3 linked regions of the Caenorhabditis elegans genome follow. The protein of the gene in region 2 purifies or fractionates together with the protein of the main gene of each other region. This does not show direct contact. Each region holds a gene or a part of one and is shown on either strand. Other genes may lie near its edges.

Region 1 (6,504 bases), on a different chromosome or scaffold from region 2:
AACATATGGATTTTTGGTACGGAAATTTTCCCCAATTTTTCCAATGATTTTCGTCTTTTGCTTTTTTTATCTGTTCTTGTTTGAAATTCTCATTTCAATTAACTTCTGTAAAATTTTTAAATCTTTTCCCGGAAAGAAAATGACTTTCTTTCTCAAAAATTTGAATAAATTCCTAAAATGAACTAAAATGTATCAACTGTGATTTTTCGACGCGCTTCAGATTTTTTCCAACTTTTTAAATAGAGAGAACAGCTTGTGCCTAGAACAATGTAAAAATTGCTTTTGAATAACCAGCGTAAAATACAAATTACATGACACATTATGTGCCGCCAAAACAACTCCAGAAAATTGCTATTATGTTGTCTAGTATGCTCAATATCTGAAAGGCGCTTCTGCTCAAACAGTATATTTCAAAAATGGATCAACAACTAGATGAACAACTTTTCGTTATTATCGATAAAATTTTCATTAAAATTTTTCTAGTTCAATTTATAATTTCTATCGCTGGAATCATCATAAATATTTCTCATGTATTCATATTAACCAGAAGCTCTATGCGAACTTCAAGTACAAATTCCCTTATGATTGGAATTGCGTTATGTGATGTTATTTTCTTAACGGCAAATTTAAATGATTTGGTACGGAAGTATTGGATTTCTAATAATATTTGCATCAATATCGAATCATATTTATTTGTTGTGAGCCGCCAATGGATTTTTGATTTTTTGAGTGACGTTTCTGAAAAGTCATCCTTCTCATTTGGTGTAATTCTTGCATTAATTCGTCTAGTTATAATGAAAACTACTGGGCGGTTTGAGAACTTCGCAAAACCTATCACAGGTTGTCTTTTGTCTCTAATGATTTTGATTTTGCTCACATTGGCATCTGGTATTTACTATGTGCAATTTTACATTCAAACGTCAAGTTTTTGGAAGCCACCAAAAAAGTCTGCATTTTCAAAACATAGAAAATCAATATTCAAATTCCAGGTGCACAGGATATGCAGCAAAACACACATAGTCAATTTATTCCCGGGAAATTGAAAATAGTGAATTGCCAGTAACATATTCAGCGGAGTATATCGAGTGAGTTTTAAACAAAGCACATTAAAAACCCAGATAATGCAATTACTCTTCCAGGCCCCAATAAACATACTATACCCAATTTTGGCATTGTTTTTGATGTACGAAGTTTGCAAATCAGCTAAGTTTGCTTCTGCAAAATTGAGTCAGAAAACAGCTCTTGAAAGGTATGAATGTTTGCTCAACATGGCTACGAGTTGCCAAATAAATTGTGTTGCCATAGTCTCAAATAATTATTCTAGATCGCACCTTTAGTAGAGACAAAACTACATGGCAAAAGTAGACAACTGGAGGTTGACTCCTAAGCAAGAACAGCAGGAAATAATGTGTTAAGATGGCAAATCACCAGATTTTAAACGGAAATTTGCTTTTGTGGTTCAAAGCTATTTTCAGATACCATTCTGCCCGTATGATTTTGGTAATGGCCGTGTTATATTTCATAGTCGGCGCACCAGGCGGTGTCCTTAATTTTCTCACACTTTTCGTGGAAATAGACTTCGGTTCGATTCTTATCATACTTGTCACCTATGCGCCTGTATACATGTCAACTTTATTTTGTTTCAACGCAATGTCCCACTTGATCAATTTCTCAATGTCCTCCAATTACAGAAGAACAGTGAAGGAGATGTGGTATTTTGGAAAAAGTAAAGTAGTTGTCACCCCGGTGAATTGAGTGTTCAATAATGAACGAGAAATTAAAAAAATTCAGGCGACTAGGAGCAATATCGCATAAAAATGTTAACTATGTGATGTCTATTGTACCTCCTGAGACTTTTCTAATCGGAGAATTGCAAATCGATGTTTAATTTTTCAACATAAAGTTTTTAGATATTTCCATCATTGAATGGAAACAAAAATCATAATCAGATTGCATGCTGTTGTATCTACTAATTGAAACGCATATAAAAATTTAGTTGTTTTTTTAATTATTCTTATGACCCGTCGAGTCTATTGAAATATAACCTTAATTTACTGAAACCCTTGAACAAATATTTATAATCCTAGTGCAGTCTTAACAAGTTTAGTTGCTTCAATTGCTGTTCCCCAACCCAACGTGAATCCGTTGCTCCCGTGACCATAGTGATGCACAACCTTAAATCAACATTTTGAACACATAAAAAAAGATAATTGTGATACCTACCATATAATCTTTTGAGTTTCCAACAGATGTCCTCTTCTGCGCTTCAATTCTGACATGCTTACGTCCCGGGCGAAGTGCTGACCATTCTTTGATAATCTTTGGCTCCTAAATCATAAATCAACTTTTTCAATCAACTTAAATTTAAAAAAAACTAATTCTCACTCTCATTCCAGGATGTAAAGCAATGTATCGTTTCAAAATATCATTTCTATCCTCGTCGGTGATCTCCAAATCCCATCGATTGTCCTGCTTGGTGGACCCAACCACCACGCTGTGCTCTCTAAAGATTTGGCACATAATATTAATTTATCGGCTTCTACTCACTTTGGAATTGTGAAAGTAGTAAAGTCTCGATAATTGAAGTGCTTGTGCCATGGTGCATCAACTTCCAAAATGACTCCTCTAATGGGGTAGCAAGTATCGTCATCACCAGCCAACTTTCCACCGTACAAGCCTGCGCAGTTTACAATAACATCGTAACCAGCGTCGGCGACCTAGAATGAATTTGTTAGACATTACTCTCCAGGTTATGATGGGTATGGGTTCAGAAATAAGGGAGGGGTGATCTTGTTTTTTGACTTCTCGGTCGCCAACTTACTGCGTCCAAACTCGTCACTTCTTGTTGCTTGAACTCGATTTTTTGCTCAAGCAGCAAATTCTTCAAATAAGGCACGTACTTGTTACCTTCTGATGCGTAGGCGGTGTAGTGAATGCAGTGCCTGAAAGCCACAGTATAGCAAAAGATGTGACGCTAAGAAGCCCACTTTGATGGTTCGGGAAAAATGTCCAGCCGTTCTCTATCATCCAAGAATCTAAAGTTGTACACAATATCGCCATAGGCTCTTTGTTGTTGCTTCAATGACTCCAAGTTGTCGGATTGAATATGTCCAGAAACTAATTTCACGCCGGTTTCGGATCCTTTTGTAGTGCGATAGAGATGTGAGAACCAGGCGAAAGAAGCACGTCCGTATTCACTAAAAATATTACGTTAAAAAAAATATTTTGGTAATAAAATTATTTATTCTAAAGCTATTAATAGCATTTTTGGCCCGTGGCAACACTTTTCTAGGATTTAATATTTTTTTTGTAATTAGTTTTTAATTTGAAAAAAATAGGACTATAAAAAATAGGATAATCAAGCAAGTTTGGTTATCTGTTTGTTATGTTATTCCAATTTTTTCAGAATTTTTTTTATTTATTTATCAAAGAACCTCACGTATTCTCCTCATAATCGATTCTAAATAATCCTGCTGGTCCTGCACTGCACGATTTTTTAAATGGTTTATCGTGGAGCACAGTTATTTTCGCATTTGGTATAGCTTTTGATATTTGAAGTGCTGAAGTACATCCAATGACTCCTTCGCCGATAATTGCAATCTTCGGAATTATGTTTGCCATTTTATTCTGAATTAATTAAGAAATGAAGAAGTCTTTGTTTAGAAATTGCGAAAATATAATAGGAAAATGCGTAGATTTTTGATCATGATGAGAAATAAAGTTCACGTTTGTTAAAATGAACTCACTTTTATACACTTATCTGCTCATCAAAGAACGCACATTCCGACCTCGTGGCTGCTCTCGATAATAGCTGAGAGAGTGGTGAAATGCGAGACGCAGCCAGTTAGAAGGGTTGAAAAATGAAGAGACTATGGCTGAACGGGAGTGAATAAGGCTCCAAAAAACAAAATTCACAGTTCATTTTTTGGATAAGATTCTTGAAACGATGGGAGAAAAATTTTGATGATGATAAAGTTGAAAAAAACCGGGATCTTAAAGGACAGAATTGCATTCAGAATTTTCATTCAGGGTCTTCGTTTTTCTTTCAACTTGTCAATATTTTTTTATTCAAAATGTATATATTTTCTATGCAAAAAAAAAACAACTACTGGGATTCTTAAATGCCTAACAACCTAATTGTAAGGTTAATTTCAGGTAATTTAATGAAAACATGAAAAAATGTACTCTGCCTTAAACAAATATCAGTGATCAACGAATTAGTCAAAACAAGTCCCAAATTATAATTTGAATTAGCACGTACTCAAAACACTCCGGTCAGATTGAAACGTTCAATGAACGAAAGTACCCATACTATATATCTTCTCAAACCCTCCTCCCGCCATCGAAACCAAAGAAGCAAGGACCCCAAATGGGCGGGATTTGGTGACACAAAGAACGATAAGACGGTATTCTATATAACATAGTCATGCGCTAGCGGTTTTGAACGGTATTCCACACTTCTTCGATTTTTTTTCTATTTTTTTAAATGTTTTATTTTTTTTTTTTTATTTATATGATTTTCAGAATCATTCTCAAATGAAAGTCCCTCACGTCATAGCTGAGCTGGTTTCGGAGTTTTCTGGATTTCAGCACACTCCAGATTTTAAAGCGTCAAGGTCAACTGGAAACTTTGAGGAAGGATCTGAAGAAGGTACATCTGGAAGCCATAAACCAGAAGAACATCACCATAAGGAACATCATGGACATTCGTTGTACTTTGGAAAACATTCTGGTAAAAAGCATTTGCCACCGGTTGTTGAAAACGACGGCGACACACATTCCAATCACAGTGATGTGTCCGGGTCGGGATCCTCATTAAAAGAAAAGAAGCATCACGGATTGACTGCTCATTTCAAAGATCTATTTCATATTGGGCACCACCATCATCATCACGGAGAGCATCCACACTCGAAGCAAAATTCTGGAGCTTCTACGCCGGCAAGGAAAAACTCGACTGGAAGTGAATGTCCGTGCTCGAAGCAAGAACAATGTCACAAGCATTCGATTAATATCACTGTTGGAGCGGTAAGTTATCTTTTTCTTTTTAAACTTTTTTTCAACTTTTAGCCACTAATTGAAACATATGCGCCGAGAGTCAAATGCAAAAAGGTTGTGTAGCCTAGAAAAAAAATGTTGTGTAGCCTTAATTTCTCGAAAGTTAAACGCTTTAAAAATCTGAAACTTTTCTGACACGTTAAAACTTTCACCTTATGTGTTTTTTCTATTTTATGTTAAGCTTCAAACCCAACCATCTCGGATCAAAAATTTTCAATTTTTCAGGACGAAGTTCCAACGGTTCTTGCGACTCCACCAAACGAACAAAATATCCTTCATGCTCATTTTATCAAAAACCAATCGCCATGCATATCACGAGTAGTCAGCTCAAGCTCACTGAAAGAAAAACTTCATAAAATCAAAAGAACTACCAGTTCCGACAGCGACACTGATTTCCCTGAGAAAAAGTGTTCTGTAGCTTCATATCGAGTTGTTACTCATTGACCAGTTTTAGCTTTTATGTGAATCAACTCAATGTAAATAAATTTATTTGAAATTAAAAGTTGTTACACGTGACCAGTCCAAACAGTTTTATGCGCAGCGAAAAGATAGGAAATCGGTCAACAAGGCCAAACCGCATTCGCGCATTCTTTTTCTTTAGAATTTATCATTTGACTATCGATTACACTTTGATAGGTTTTTAAATGTGACCAGGGCCACATGTGATGATGAAGGTGAAAAGCGAGAAATGGATATAGTCATGCTGCAAGGTTCAAATATTGTTTTCTAGGTAGGAAAGGGGAGAGAATATTTGGAAGTTGGAAATAAGGAACTGCAATAAAGGCCTTCAGCTAATTTTCATGGCAATCTATTTTGTAGACTTGGTATCTTATTGAAAATACTTTTTAAAAAATTATCTAACTATTTTCTTGTAATTTTAAAGAATAATCTCAAATTTTGTAATTGCAAATTAGCTCTGAGAATAGTCCGAAAGTCGATGTTAAACAATTATATTATTTTATTTTTATAATTTTATTCAAATTTTGAGCAATTTTCTTTTTGTTTTCTTTGCTCACCGATCACTGGGAAAAAATTCCATTTCAATTTATCTGTTCAATTTCCGATTTCCTCCTTTTTGGCAATCCTCGCCGGGCTGCATTTCCGTAATTGTACTCTTCTCCGTTCTTCTTCTTCTTGTTCTTCTCTTCAACAGAACCACTGAAACCAAAAAAAATGAATGTGGAGCACACATGCACTCCTCAATTGAGAGAGACGTTGGCTTGGCTCCTCCGCATATAGCACATAAGTCTCGACAAAACGAAGAAGACGGAAGACGAAGAAAGTAGACACAGAAAGAGAGCGGACATTCATTCAAATCAATGGCGCCGTTTCTCTTGAACAAGTGATGAGAGAAGAGGGGGAAGAAGTGAAAAAGGCACTCACTTACATGCACACTCTCACGCACATGCACACCGTCAGCAGGGCTCCGCACTTGGAGGACGACAAGGA
Region 2 (6,735 bases):
TGAATGCTTGAGAATAAGCCAAACCAGGAAACAGTTTAGGAGAAATGAAATAGCTGTGCACACAAGTTGATATATTGTGAACATTTTTTGGGATTTTAGAACTTGGAAAAAATATGAAAGTGGTAAAAAGGACGAATAACGAAGAAAAAAAATGAGCGAAGCTGATAACAATTCTCAGGAGAAATTATAGCTCCTATTGACGTTAGCCGTGAAAATTGATGGTTACAAAGGCGAAATTAGCGTTTCGGTCGGAATGATCGTGTCTAGAACATCTCAGCTGCCACTAGGGACAGGTGATTCATTTCATTGCTAAAGTGCTATTCATCTTACAAAAAATTGCAGGAAATTATAATTAATTTTTGTTAGAATTATAACTAATGGATTTTTCGAAGAGTAAGTAGCTTTCAAATTTTCATGAAAAACGATCCCACCTTTACAAATTCACAACTTTGAAATTTATATTTTTGAAATCTTTGGCACCAGATTCTAGTCAAATGGCATTTATCCAGTTATCTAGATACTCATTACAATGGGTTCCCATTTGAGAAAAAAAACGATGGCCGGTTTTTTCCTTTGCGGTCATGATACTAATATCACTCACTTGATATAAATTTGCTCTTGAAACAGTAACGTTTAAATGTTTCACATTTCACGAGCAATTTCATTTCAGATAGGTTCTCTCTTTTCAAATGTTTCTTTTGCGAACATCACGTTTTACTGTTCAAACACCACATCTTCCAAATTTTGGTTCCCAGCAAGTTAAGACACAGTTTTTCTGTATTCCCATCAGTTTTTACTTCCGCTTCACCATGTTTTCTTTTAAAAGCATTCCAAGTGTCAATAATTTCATTCTCCATCCGAAAATGTCGAAGCTCATCCTCTCCCTTCTCCTTGTCGCCTGCATTGCTGTTCAAATCAATGCTGCCGGAATCGGCAATGCCAAGAATATTCTGAAGTCGTTGGATAAGGCACTGGAGTCTCACGACATCAAGCGGTTCTTGAGCATGCATGACAGTAACTTCAACTTCAAGTTCTGTAAGGTTAGCGGAAAGAGTGTGGAAGATTTGAAGAAGATTTTGGAGCAGGATCCAAATATGTCAACCACCAAGAAGAGTAATGTAAGTTTCAGAAGCTCGGAAAACTTTTATGAATTTTGTTGCTTTCTGGCAAACAAGATCCCATTTTTCAGCATTTTGTCACCAGTAAAGTTACCAAAGACGGCGCAAACTACAAATTCGACTACGAGGAGTTCCTTCTTCTTAAGAACGACGAATTCTACAAGGCCGAGGGAACTATTTACTTCCAAGATGCACCAAAAGTCAAGATCATGAAGGCGACCGAAAAGTGTCCAGTGAAGATTTTCTAAAAATCTCGAATCTGGAATCATGATGTGAAATATATGAATAAAGAATCTTTTTAAAATATTTTGAAAATTCTATACATCTCTAAAAAAATGCAATCTCGTTATTACAAAAAGCAAAATCTTTCACCTTAAGCCTAGATGTAGGTAATGTTTGATGAACAGTAAATTTTGAAACAGTAAATTTTTGAATTACAAATTGAAATTTTTTTAAAATCTATTCAGAATCCCTATATCCGCATGCATCAGGGAACGTGCCAAATTTGAAAAATGTGTGTTTCTCAATCTCTAATCATTTATCATATGGTCATGACAACAACTGGTGTCAAGGTGTACGATAACGGTACACTGTGGCAATTGACACTCTTTTTTTCTTTATTTCTCTATTCAACAAGACTTGTATTTATTAAGAAAATGCAATGAGAGAGCGTGGTGATAAGACGGGTAATTCCCTCGCTTTTCTCATTTTTTGCGGTGTTGTGTTCGTGTCATTTGAGATAATCCATGTTGATTCCACTTTTATTGTTGATTTGATAGATGTTCCAAGTTTTTACTGCTTCCTGAAAGCATAATTCTTAAAAATAATGCTTCATAGCAGTTGTGGCTTCATACAATTTTCAAAAAAAAATTCACTGTTTCAAAAAAATTGAATTCAATTTCCTGCATTATGACGTACGTGTTAAAAAAATATGTTCACCTAAAAATTCCGCTCGAACTGTCGCGAAATCTGTGTTTCAGTGAAATAAAATAAAAACATCTAGACAAAATACAGTTCTCCTCAAAAATTGCTGTTTCAAAATAATAATTTAAAAAAAAACACCAAAGTGTCGTATTTAAATTTAAAAAAAAACTATCGTTTCAACAAAACAGGTTCAAATCTATTTTAGTATTAAAATCTATAACTTTATAAAATTTGCTATTTAGGTTTTACGAATTGTTGTTTTTTACTCTGAATTGTAAAATTACCGTTTCAAATATATTCTTCTAAATTCAAAAATTTAGTATACAATTTTTCTAGAAACATTGAAGTATTACCAGGAATTTTTGGATATTTCCTATAAATTCTATTTTGATCAATTTGTAGTTGTCTTATCATATATTGCATTGGATGATAATAGGAAATGATCCGATTCTCTTTCCTGTTCCAAAACTAGGTAAATGTACCTCATATATTTTGTTAATTTTGTAGTCACAATAACATGTTATGATAATAATATCGATAAAAAATATCGTGATGTTTAAACATTAAGTTTCATTTTTTTCGGTACTGTTCTAATTGTTCAAAACAATTTAAAAAATTTCGGTCAATTTATAGACAATACCGATTTTAATAATGAATGTAAAATTTTCACTGTTTCACTAATTTTATAACAATTTTCATTCCTTCCAATTCACATTGTGTTAGTGTAGTGATCATTACTTATATATTTTAAAAAAATAGGGTGTTAGTTTTTTCCGTTTGTCTGTTTGTTTCCGTGACGTCACAACGCATGAGACCCATTTTGGCGCAAATTCAAATTTCTTCAGAAAAATTTTGGTGCAAACTCAAATTTCTTCAGAAAAATTTTAGCGGGAATTCAAATTTCTTCTGAAAATTTTGGTGGGATTTCAAATTTGTTCAGAAAAATTTTGGTGCAAATTCAAATTTCTTCAGAAATATTTTGGTGGTTTTTTCTTCCGCGCCGGAGGCGCGATCAGCAGCTAGTTTTCAAATAAATTTACTGTTTCAAAAATACGATATTTTTTGCCTAATTTTTGAGAATATCACTATGACGTCTAAACGTAAAGCGATTCCATAATCTACTTCAAAATTCCAGGCTCCCCAAATGCTTGGCAAAGGTGTCGTTGATTATACCCGGGAAGGGTCAATTTTGAGTGCCGAGCAGAGGCGATTCTACGAGAAAAATGGATATCTGTTGATTCGAAACTGTGTTCCACAGTACGAATTGAACAGGTTCCGACAAAGATTTCAGGTGAGCAAATGCGCCCGGCTGCATAATTTTTGACTATAGGCTGGGATTAATAGTCCACAAAAATTGATGGGGCCTAAAGTTTCAGTTTTATTTCGACAATTTTTAATTTTGCGTCGAAGTATTTTTCAACCTGACTGCAACGAATTTTTTTACAAAGTTGTGACGTCACAATTTTCTAAAAATGTATTTTCAGGACATTTGCGAGAAAAAAGTAAAAGCTCCAGAAAACATGACCGTCATGAAAGACATTTCCATCGCAAAATCCGAATTCAAAGACGGTGAGAAGGCGATCACCAAGATCCAGGATTTTGCAGATGATCCAGTTCTTTTTGAGTACTGTAAGTATCCGGGAGTTGTCGATGTGGTGAAGGACTTGATTGGAAATCCAAAGTCGAATTTGATGGCAATGCATACAATGCTTATCAATAAACCACCAGATAATGGTAAGTTTTGAACTTTAAATTGTATTAGGATTTACTAGAAAATGTTAATTAAAATAAGACACGTTAAATAAAAAAGTTTGAAACAAATTTTTTTTTGATAATTATGAAACATGTCCAAAATTATCTTAAATTGTTATTTGTTTTGCCAAACCACACTCCTAACTGTAAAAAAATTGAAGAACGTAAAATATCTTGAATAGTCTATAAAGAGTTGTGAAAATTCGAAAATCAGTAATTCAAAAAAATTTTGAAAAAAATTCAAAATTTTCTACTGTTTCAAAATCGGTTCAAAAAATGAAAGTATTTTGAGAAGTTTACTGCTTATATCGTTCACAGAACAAAATTACAGAACATTTAATAATCAAGTTCTAATTATCATATTTAAGGAAAACTAACATCCCGGCACCCAATGCACCAAGATCTTCAATATTTCCCATTCCGTCCAGCAGATTTTATTTGTTGTGCTTGGACCGCAATGGAGAAGATCACAAGAGCAAATGGATGTCTGGTTGTTGTTCCCGGAACTCATAAAGGTGTTCTTTTGCCACACGAGTACCCGAAATGGGAGGTAAGTCCGCTAAGCTGAGTTTTGGTTTGGTTTGGTTTTGGCAGAGCTATTTACCACGTTGAATTCTTGTTTGAAAACTTGAAATTAAGTAATTTGAGAAAATTTGAGAAAAAAACAGCTAAACGAGCGAGCTAATATTTGACAGAGAAAAAGCCTAAGCTTGAGCCCGAGCTTAAGCGTAAGTCTAAGCTTCAGGATTACCCGAAGACTAGGTTTAAGCTTGCGCATAAGTCCACGTCTGAAGTTCGCTCTCAAAAAGTTCCTTATTTTCAGGGTGGTGTGAACAAAGCCTATCACGGAATCCAGGACTATGACACGTCGACGCCACGTATCCACGTGGAAATGGAACCCGGAGATACCGTATTCTTTCATCCAATTCTTATTCATGGTTCCGGAGCCAATAGAACTGAAGGTAACCATTTTTGAAACTTTGGAAAAAATTAAACAAGAAATTACTGTTTCAATGCTTTGATATAAAAACTATGAATCTCACAATTGTCGGTAAACTCTTCTAAAAAAGATATTTTTGCTTCTAACACAAATTTTCCCATCCTTTCGTTACTGTTTCAATGTTTTTATACAAAAAATGAAAATTCGCAGTAAATACTAATTTATTTTTAAAAGTTCAAATTCTTCTTAAATTGAGAACTCCCAGCTACAAAAATGCGTTGGACACGGGAGTTTCGGTGCAAAACAAAATTTTTTTCAGGATTCCGCAAAGCGATCTCCTGTCACTACGCAAATGACGACCTCTGCCGTTATGTAAACGTCGAGGGTACAACTCAAGAGACATTGGCAGAGGAGATCATCGAAATCGCCAAGAAGCGTCTGACAAGATATGGTCTCGACCCGAATACTGTAACCTTGGATTTCGCGGACATTTGGAGGGTTCGCGCCAGAGAGGTCAATGGGCGCAGATCTAATTTGTGATTTTTATGTTTAAAACTGTGAAATCGATCAGAGTTTGTCGATAATTTTTGTAATGTATTTCAGTTAATAAATTAACATTTTGAAAGCGAGTTTTTTCTTGAATTTTTGAAAAAAAAACAAATCATAAATACGTGAACAATTTCGTCAAAACATTTTTTTGCACAATTTTTTTCCCACTAACTTTGATAATATTGCTACATTGAATTCCAAATGAGTACTAAAAATAAGCGAGACTTGGGCAGAAGCTCAGAACTCAGAACTATTTAAACGAGAATTAATTACAGAAATGCGTTAAAATATTTATTTGTTTTGATGTCAGATATTAGTTTATTGAATTTATAAAACTTTCAGAAAAAAAAGACGTAAAAAACCAGTTTTCACTTATCCGTATTTTGGATGTCGACCAAAAAAAAAATAGCTACGAGTTTCACGTTTTGATTGTAATTTCTGGAATGTTCTAGGACATTTTGACGAATTCCAGAAAATTTTGAATTGTTCTAGGACCTCCTAAAAATTGAGAAGTTGAAAAATTTTAGAAAATTTTGGAACGCTCTATAATCTGCTGGAAACTTTGACAAAATTATGGAATGCTCTAAATCAGTTTAAAAACTCGATAGAACACTGTATTCTGGAATATTCTGGAACCTTTTGCCAAGTTTGACATAATTTTGGAAGTTTTCAGAATCGTCTGAAACATTCGGGGGAAAATTGGTGATTTTTTAAAAATTTTAATTGTATTTACACATTGCATTGAAAAATCCGCACGAAACCTTCATTAAAAATGGCTCCGAGATAGAATTAAAATGCTTTTGAGCATACTGTTAAAAGAAAGATAATGAGCAATAATATCCATAATTTCCAAAAAATCTAACCGCAGCAAAAAAGTTATGAAAATTAATTGAAAAAAAACGCGAACTCCGTCAAATGCCCAAAAGTCCACGTTTCCAAAAATATAAGAAGGGGGGGGGGGGGGAAGAGAAAATTGAACTTTGAAAATAATCATTACCATCTTCATCATGTCTCTGATGAAATCTCTCAGATTCGTGGTTCTTTCGACACGTGGATTTGCAAGCAGTGAGTTTTGAAAATCGATGGGCCGATCTTTTTACGGCAATTTTCAGAGCCCATTGTGGACTTCTCGAGCGCCGGAAAGGTTCTCAGTGTGGAACAAAAACAGTTCTATCAGAAAAATGGATTTCTTCTCGTGAGAGGATGCGTTGCAAAGGACGAATTGAAGAAGTACGAAAACCAGTTCAATGTAGGTTTTTTTCAGAAAGTATTCAGAAAATTGAGTACAAACATTTCAGGCGATTTGCGAACGTAAAGTGAAGCCTCCGCCAAATATGCTTGTCATGAAGGACGTGTCAATTGCGAAGAAGGTTACACCCGATAGTGAGTTGTCAAAAATTGCCAGAAATTTGTCGCTTCGCAGAACTTAACACATATGGGATTCTCGGAATC
Region 3 (7,432 bases), on a different chromosome or scaffold from region 2:
CTCAGCGGAGCCGCCGAAAACAGAAATTTGTACGCCTTCCTAGTGGGTTCACGTTTCCTGCGGATGCGGCGAGTAATTTTCAAAGAGATGCGTATATTCCAGCGACGGTAAATTTTCGCTTTTTGTTAAATGAATTTCAGGCTTCAAATTATTTTCTAGGACAAAAATTTAAAGTAGGCTTGCGCATACTCATTTCCCTGCCTTACCTGCCAACAGGCTAGCTTTTGGAGAGAAATCAAAAGTTTGGTGTCTGTAAATCTAAGCTTTCCGAAGCGTCCGAAAGTTTTTGGGAATCCGCTATACACTTTAAGATTGATAAATATTTGAATCAGGTTTATTTTGCACTATTAAGGCGTGTAGGCACTAGGCCGGCAAAGCTCGCCTACGGGGAGCCTTACAATCAAGTATTATTCATGAAGGTCTTGATTTGGTTACAGAATTCCATCTAAAATTACTTATACAAAAACATGAAAAATTTCAGTTTGCCCCGCCATCTGAGAAGATTCTTCAAGCTCCACCACGCTATTTAACTGGAGAACACAATCCAGCTTATGGTAGGCCCAATTTTTTATCTGATTTTCTAAATTTAACTTCAAGCTCACAATACCGATGTGCAAGGAATGAACTACGCTGAGTACAAGCAAGCGATGGCCCCACAACCACATCCAGTCGATGCTTATTCTCCACCACCTCCTGCACCAATGGTCCCACCGGTTACTGTAGTTGAACCACCTGCAATGCCGTATGAAATGACTACGATTGCATCTGTTGGACCACTTACTACTCCCGCATCAGTCGGCTTGAAGAAGGGAAAGTTTGTGATTTTAGTTAATTGATCTTTCAAGTAATTGGATACAATTTCCAGCATCGGAGGAATTGCTCAAAACTTGAACGACAGGTACACCAGCTTAACACCAGAAGCTCAACGTGCTCAGAAAGGTCATACCTATACGGCTCTGGGCGGTGGACAATTCTATCAAAGTTTACTTGGAGGGGTAAGATGCAAGGTTAGAACTTACAAACTCAATTCATTTTACAGAAAGGAGGCCCCGGAGGATTCTCCCCACTCTCGTTCTTTCTAAACGGCGGTCTAGGAGGTACTGGTGGTGGTGGTAACAATGGATTCTTCGTTCCGGTGCCTGTAGTCATTCCGCCTCCACCGCCACCGCCACCAGGACCAAACTGTTTCACGAACCCGTCGGGATTCCTTTGCTGTAACGTGACACTTGAGAAAACTATGGAAGACGCGTACCTGGCCGCAAAAGCAGATGGTGCATCACTGTGCAATGTACAGAAAATGGCAACTGCAGTGCAAGCGGTGGGGTTTATGGATTTCATTTTATAATGTAATGTGCTCTTCCCTAGAATTGAATAAGCTTACAACTTGAATTACGACTTGAATTACAACTTGAATAAGCTTAAAATATCCACCAAATTTCAGCAAGCCGAAAAAAAATTCGGAACAACTTTCGAATCAGTCGCTGCTCATTCGGACTTCGTCGCAAAAATTAATTTTGCCGGTGACCTGAACTGTAAAATAGAAATCGATGGGAAATTCATACTAGCGTACGCAACTCCAATCGCCGAGCAAGAGGTGAACATTGTCGATGCTAGCTCATTCTTCTCGGGAGCTGCTGATAAGGATTTGGATGGTGTCAATGGTACCAAGCCCACCTACATTGTCTACGGTCCCATTAAATAATGGAGGGTCTAGCTTTAAAGATTTCTGTATATTAAAGCTGAAATGTGAATTAATTGTTTATTTGCCAATCACAATAAAGTTGGAAATATCATTTGAATAGTTCGAAAGTTTTCAATCGGAATGGGAGAAAATTCGAAAATTTAGGTGGAGGTGAAAAGTTGATGAAGTAACACAATTAACTGTGCTCGAATCCTGAATAGAAGGAGAAAAGAGCCTATAAACAGATTTTCAATTTACACATATTACACAACAATTCAGGAAGAAGACAGTAGTTGCAAAAGAAAATACGTAGAAAAAAGAGTGAAGGACTGGCGGGATGTCAGTTTGGATGTACAAATAGAACTCCTGAAGCATAAGAAACAGAAGAATCGACCGATGATCGAACCTGAAATGGATTTATTGTTGATTGAAAAATATTAAGCAATTCTGAATCTCTACCTTGTTTGATTGTGTGTAATGCAAGAATCTAAACTCGTGAGTGTGATTGTTACTGATCCGGAAATGTTCGGCTGCTTGCAGCATTATCAATATCGGATTACGCCCACAAATCGTGTTCTGGGTCTTTTTGAGGTAGTCATTAAAAGCTGCCGGATTAAGCGTCTCAATTGCGCTCATTCCCTGCTTATCCATATTGGTTATCTGCTCATAAATCGGAATAGAACTATGACGATCGTACGGAGAAAAGCTGAAGCGTTCTCCCCAATGGCAAAAGTCCGAAGAGATCACAAACAAGTTTCTTGGATCCTCCATGTAATGAGCAAAAATATTTCCATACGTTTGCTGCCTAGATCCTGGTAAAGATCCAACAAGTACCGGAACAATGGTGTAACGTTTTGAACCCATAACCTTTGCAATAAATGGGAGTTGCATTTCAATACTATGCTCTGATTCTTCATCTCGGCGATCCATCAAATCGAAATGACGAGTGGCACGAAGCTCCTCGTTAACTGCAAAGGGCAATGTTGTAAAAGATGTACTAAGAGTGCAATAGATTACTTTTGTGATCAACGATCAAGTCGCCGAGTGGAGTTCTGTACTTGCTGCATGTGGTTATAGCACATCCATTTAGAGCAACAACGTGAGATGGGCCAAGAATGAAGACTCTTTCACTGAAAGTTATTGAGTAAGCCCTGTTGCCAAGTACAAATTTCAACAACTCACACTGCTGATGAAACAACTTGTTTGAAAGCATATGCAGCTGTTTCTCCACAATACGAATATCCCGCATGTCTGAAAGTTATCAGAAAATAAATATTAAATGCATTTAGAGTATTACGGTGAAATCAACGCTCGAGCCGTTCCAATCCGTGGACCGGCGTTGTCAAGCCATTTTGTGAGTTGCCGATCAAGATCTCGCTGGTTGGCGTTGTACCATGATCCGGCATGTGAGGCAGATCTCGTGTGCTCGCCGAATCCGTTTAGTGACATTTTAAATTCAGATGGTCTGAATATTAAAGTTTTGATAAATTGTTGTATACGACTTGATTAATATGTTTAGTAGGGTTTTCAACTACTGTGTGTTTCCCAAATAGTCAACATTGAAAAATGGAAAAGTTTGAATTTAAATATTCAAATAATTTTAATTAATTAATATTAAAATTCACAATACAGTGTAACATCACACTTAATTCAAGATGTTCTAAAAATATGAGCCATCGGGCTAGCTCTACTTCACGAATTCGAATCAAGTCCGGGGAACTGGCTCGAAAGAAAATAAATTTTTAATTTGGTTTATGTCCGAAATAGAAATGGGAATCTGGTTTTTCATTCTGAATAATTTCCGAGAAACACTTACAAAATAAAATTCAGATATCTTGCAAAAGGAAGGCCAAATGTCCTGAGAAATAGAGCACGAGAGTTTTGAAATACCTGCAACAACAGGATTTGCTTCTATTTTGTTTTTTGAACTGAATTTTAAACTATTATCTATTCTGAAAACATTTTTTGTCCAAAAAAAATCAAGAACAATTTAGAGCAAAATGTGGCAATCCGAAAATGTTGATGCAACAAAAAAGTGTTTTTTTTTTCATTGAATTTCAGTTTTGAAAACTGATTTCTTTCCAAAAAAAAAACGAAGGAAAATTTTGAGAAAAAAGTGAAAATCCAAAAATGCTGATTTTGGTTTTTTTTTCAAAAAAAAAGCATTTTGCAAAGTGTGTGCTTTTTTTCGAAAGTTTCAGAACCTTGAGACAAAAAACCAAAATTGTGTTCCCGAGTGAAGCCCGCCACGTGGACATGGTCAGACGAATCTTGTTCGTGTTCGCAGCCAATTTTCATTTTTGCTGAACGCATAATTGTTCAAAGAAGATTCGGTCTAAAAAGACGAAATTGAAATAGATTGTGGAATCCTTTGAAATTTTCTTTTGACAAAAGGTCACCGTTATTCAAAAATTGAGATGGTCTCGTGACTAAAATTAAACAATCAAGATAATCATGATTGTGGGCCTGTTTTAAAATACACTTTTCAAAAACGAAATGTAGGCTCCAATCCAAACTGCGCATCAAGACCAAGAATATAAAATTTTTAAACTCGGGAGACGTAGAGAAACTTTGAATATTAAACATCGCCGTCAAGTTTCCGTCAGAGCGCGCCTGAAATTTTTTAGAGGCTTCTTTCAAAAAGCTACCCATACAAATAATCATAAGAAAAACGTTTTAAAACTTTGCATTCCACCCAAAAATGTCTGAAATTACCCGTAAAAAGAATGTGTGAAGGGAGTGATTTGAGGGTTCTGTCAAACAGTTTGACTGTTTCGCGTTCGACGTGTCTCGACGTGGATGGTATTGAAGAGGACCGCGCTGATCTTGTGCTGGTCGTCGTCGTCTTGTCGGACCGCCGCGAGTAGTCTTCAGTCTACCAATTACCTGAAAATTTGACACTTTTTGTGATGTGAAACTGGCTGCCTGAAGCAATGCCATATAATAATCATAATAATAATAATGAAGAGGGATGAGGATGCATGCCAAAAGAATGAAAGGAAAGACGCTCTTCTACAACACCAGCCGATAGTATTTAGAAGAAAAAGAAGACTAAAAAGAGAGTATTGGGTGATGGGAGAAAGAACACAATAGGGGAGGCAGTGAAATAGAACGAGAACAATGGAATCGGCAGACATTTGACACTAGAGGGGCCACTGTTTCAGTCTTTTTCGCACTTGAATATTGGAAGAGGGCCAAGAAGGGGAGTTCCAAGAATGGAAAAAGTGGTAGGTTTGTAGAAAATCTGCCTTTTTTTTTTTAAAATTTCGTGTTCACTACTTTATTTCGTGTTCACTCGTTTATGTCTTCCATTATAGGCAGGCAAAGTTTCATGCCTACATACCTGCCTCATGCCTATTTGACTTTCAATATAAAACTTGATTTTTGGCATTCTTCATTTTATAACAATTGTAACTAATAATAAGCTTTGCAAAGTTTTCTGAAAGAAATTGTCTAAATTTTCCTGGTACACTGAACATTTTTCGGTATAAAATCTATGCGTATCAAGCCTATTTCTAAGAGCCGTAAGTATTTTCAGCTGAAAATGTAAACCACGGAGTCAATATTTACTTCGTATCATCCATCTTCCATTCCGTCTTGTTTACACCTACGGCAGGTATTTAGACACGAATGATTGTTTTTCTCGTTGCCTAATACTTTTTCCCCCGAAATATTCCCATATTCCAGTTCTGAACAATGCACTTTTCAGCGGTCATCGGGTCCATCCAGCCCTCATTCAGCCCTTTCATTTATCTTCGTTTCTACTTTTAGACGAAAATGCAAAAAAAAGAGAAAAAGACACTCTCTTTTGACGCTCACATTCGCTCACATTGCTGTGGTAGAAAAACACTCACTCGGTGGCTGCTGGGAAGGGAAAACGAGAAAATGTTTGGTCACGCAATACGCCTATATCTTTGATTTGACTTTGAATCTTTATACATTTTTCACGGGGTTCAAAAACAATTATGAAGAAAATTGTTTGATTAAATTAGAATGTAGATTCTTTATATTTTCAATCAAAAATTAATTTTGGAAAAATAACTATCCAAAAAACGAAAAAAGTAATAAATGAGTACTTGAAAGTGAAATGGGGCAATTAAACAAGATAAAAAAGACTAAAACGTGAGACATCTCACAACGGGTCACGGGCAAGAAGTACACGAGAAATCGAACGTGAGTGGGGAGGCAGAGACACTCAGCTGACTGCCTGGCCTGACGCTCGCTCACAAAACGCTCTCACTCTCTTCCTCGCTTTGCCCGCTCTCCGCCCCGGGTCGTCAGTTCGGTCGATCCATGTTTGTTCATTTTTATAGGTGAAAATTTATGTAAGGGAACGGAAAATGTAAAGTGATCGTGGGAAAATAGAAAAACAATTACATTGTAACTTTTCTGGACCAAGTTGTACCCAGATGCAATATGTATATTTTTCTCAGAAAATACTGTGTTGGGTTTCGACAGGATCGATTTATCAAAAGCAAACGAGTGTGCGTCTCAACGAGCACTAAAGTTCCCAACTAGAGCATCCTTGTTGTGGTAGAACTACATAGAAATTTTTAATTTTGATTTCAATAGCTTTTCTCTTGTTTTCTCAAAATTTATTGAAAAACTTATTTACTATAAAACGACCAACGACGGATCTGGAAACTACAGTACTCCTTAATGCAAAAGGCAACGAAAAATCAGCCAGTGACTTATTTTTTGTTCTGGATAAAAATCGGGAATATTTGCATTTTGAATTCGCACTGTATCGATAAACAAAACACCGAAGATCACGCCAAAATGACTATTGTAACTAACAGGTACGAGAAAGGGACGCTTGTTCTACAAAAATAATTCAACAAATTTTCCCCAAAAAAATGTGAAGTCCGCAATTCTCGTAGTTTTACGTAAATCAAACCGAGCATGACACTCTGACACCACGTGCGCCTGAAGATGTGCCTGCCTACCATGGATGCTTTACATTTGCTAGTTCCATGACACCCCATCCTTTCAGCTTCCAAGATGAAGGAGTTCGGAGAAAATTCGAAAAAATATTGAGAAAAATAACCCAAAACATTCTGAAACATTGCGGAAAAAAGTTAGAAATTATGTCGAATATATCTGAACCAATCAACAATTTCAAATAAAATACAAAAAAAAATTGGAAGACCTTAAATAGTCTCCGCCCATATTTTGGCTTCAAATGACCGTACTTCGGAATATGGCCGATGGCCGTGGCAAGACCTCCAATCGTAGTTTTGAGCGGTCAGTAAGTGAAGATTAAAATAGGAACAGTACCGTAAGATCAGCCCAGGTGCGGATGTGGGATAGAGGAACTGAAAATAATCGAAGAAGCATGATAACTAAGCCACGTGGCCACGTTCGTTTTTGCGATGTTAATAGATCGCCACTTCGTCCATTGTCGTTTTGTTTGTACTAAGTCTCCTTAGCAATTCTCTCGAAGGCGGGCCATTGCTATTAGTAAAATAAGCTACCAATTTTACCTTTCAATACATTCATTCACTGATGGTTTTCCTATCAGGTGATCATTTTTTTGTTCTTCTCAATTACACTATCTAAAAATGATGAAGTTTTTGCTTCGCGGCTATTTGGTTGAAGTGATGATATATCCATTGATTGTCGTCTCCACTTGTGCTCTTTTTACGTCTTACAACTTCTTTTTAAGTGTTTTGCGTATTCACTGTTTCATTTATTTTTTGCAGAAAATGAGCCTGTTCAGCAAATTTTTCGGAGGCATGATGCAAGAAGCTC

Evidence for each region.
Region 1: the proteins of ZK550.6 (region 2) and ddo-2 fractionate together in Caenorhabditis elegans (co-fractionation; one large-scale study listed by BioGRID). This does not show direct contact.
Region 3: the proteins of ZK550.6 (region 2) and memo-1 fractionate together in Caenorhabditis elegans (co-fractionation; one large-scale study listed by BioGRID). This does not show direct contact.

Annotation. Positions count from the first base shown.
Region 1 is NC_003283.11:7,431,406-7,437,909, forward strand, and holds ddo-2 (D-aspartate oxidase 2), read right to left. Parts: upstream 3,628-6,504; 5' UTR 3,622-3,627; coding exon 3,440-3,621; exon of another isoform or gene 3,435-3,439; intron 3,198-3,434; coding exon 2,988-3,197; intron 2,943-2,987; coding exon 2,822-2,942; intron 2,718-2,821; coding exon 2,548-2,717; intron 2,504-2,547; coding exon 2,386-2,503; intron 2,329-2,385; coding exon 2,224-2,328; intron 2,175-2,223; coding exon 2,076-2,174; 3' UTR 2,062-2,075; downstream 1-2,061. Other genes in the region: F25E5.8 (S39A8 protein), read left to right, coding at 4,537-5,025, 5,281-5,499; F25E5.9 (uncharacterized protein), read right to left, coding at 6,101-6,388, 6,443-6,504. UniProt on the Caenorhabditis elegans protein: Selectively catalyzes the oxidative deamination of acidic amino acids. May play a role in the egg-laying events and early development of the worm, in addition to quality control of the germ cells.
Region 2 is NC_003282.8:17,258,928-17,265,662, reverse strand, and holds ZK550.6 (putative phytanoyl-CoA dioxygenase), read left to right. Parts: upstream 1-3,177; 5' UTR 3,178-3,186; coding exon 3,187-3,333; intron 3,334-3,526; coding exon 3,527-3,776; intron 3,777-3,796; exon of another isoform or gene 3,797-3,817; intron 3,818-4,094; exon of another isoform or gene 4,095-4,118; intron 4,119-4,162; coding exon 4,163-4,344; intron 4,345-4,617; coding exon 4,618-4,756; intron 4,757-5,053; coding exon 5,054-5,274; 3' UTR 5,275-5,356; downstream 5,357-6,735. Other genes in the region: str-187 (Seven TM Receptor), read right to left, coding at 1-84; F26D10.13 (CaMKII_AD domain-containing protein), read left to right, coding at 864-1,118, 1,190-1,366; phyh-1 (phytanoyl-CoA dioxygenase), read left to right, coding at 6,291-6,348, 6,396-6,532, 6,582-6,666. UniProt on the Caenorhabditis elegans protein: Converts phytanoyl-CoA to 2-hydroxyphytanoyl-CoA.
Region 3 is NC_003283.11:7,842,598-7,850,029, forward strand, and holds memo-1 (Protein memo-1 homolog), read right to left. Parts: upstream 4,397-7,432; intron 4,017-4,396; 5' UTR 3,940-4,016; coding exon 3,886-3,939; intron 3,572-3,885; coding exon 3,498-3,571; intron 3,147-3,497; coding exon 2,979-3,146; intron 2,933-2,978; coding exon 2,864-2,932; intron 2,812-2,863; coding exon 2,699-2,811; intron 2,650-2,698; coding exon 2,141-2,649; intron 2,088-2,140; coding exon 2,022-2,087; downstream 1-2,021. Other genes in the region: grd-8 (Ground-like domain-containing protein), read left to right, coding at 1-107, 482-554, 598-814, 866-995, 1,040-1,318, 1,442-1,702. UniProt on the Caenorhabditis elegans protein: Plays a role in the oxidative stress response and the maintenance of longevity by regulating the interaction between GTPase rho-1 and oxidase bli-3. In turn, this serves to modulate bli-3 activity and the control of reactive oxygen species production.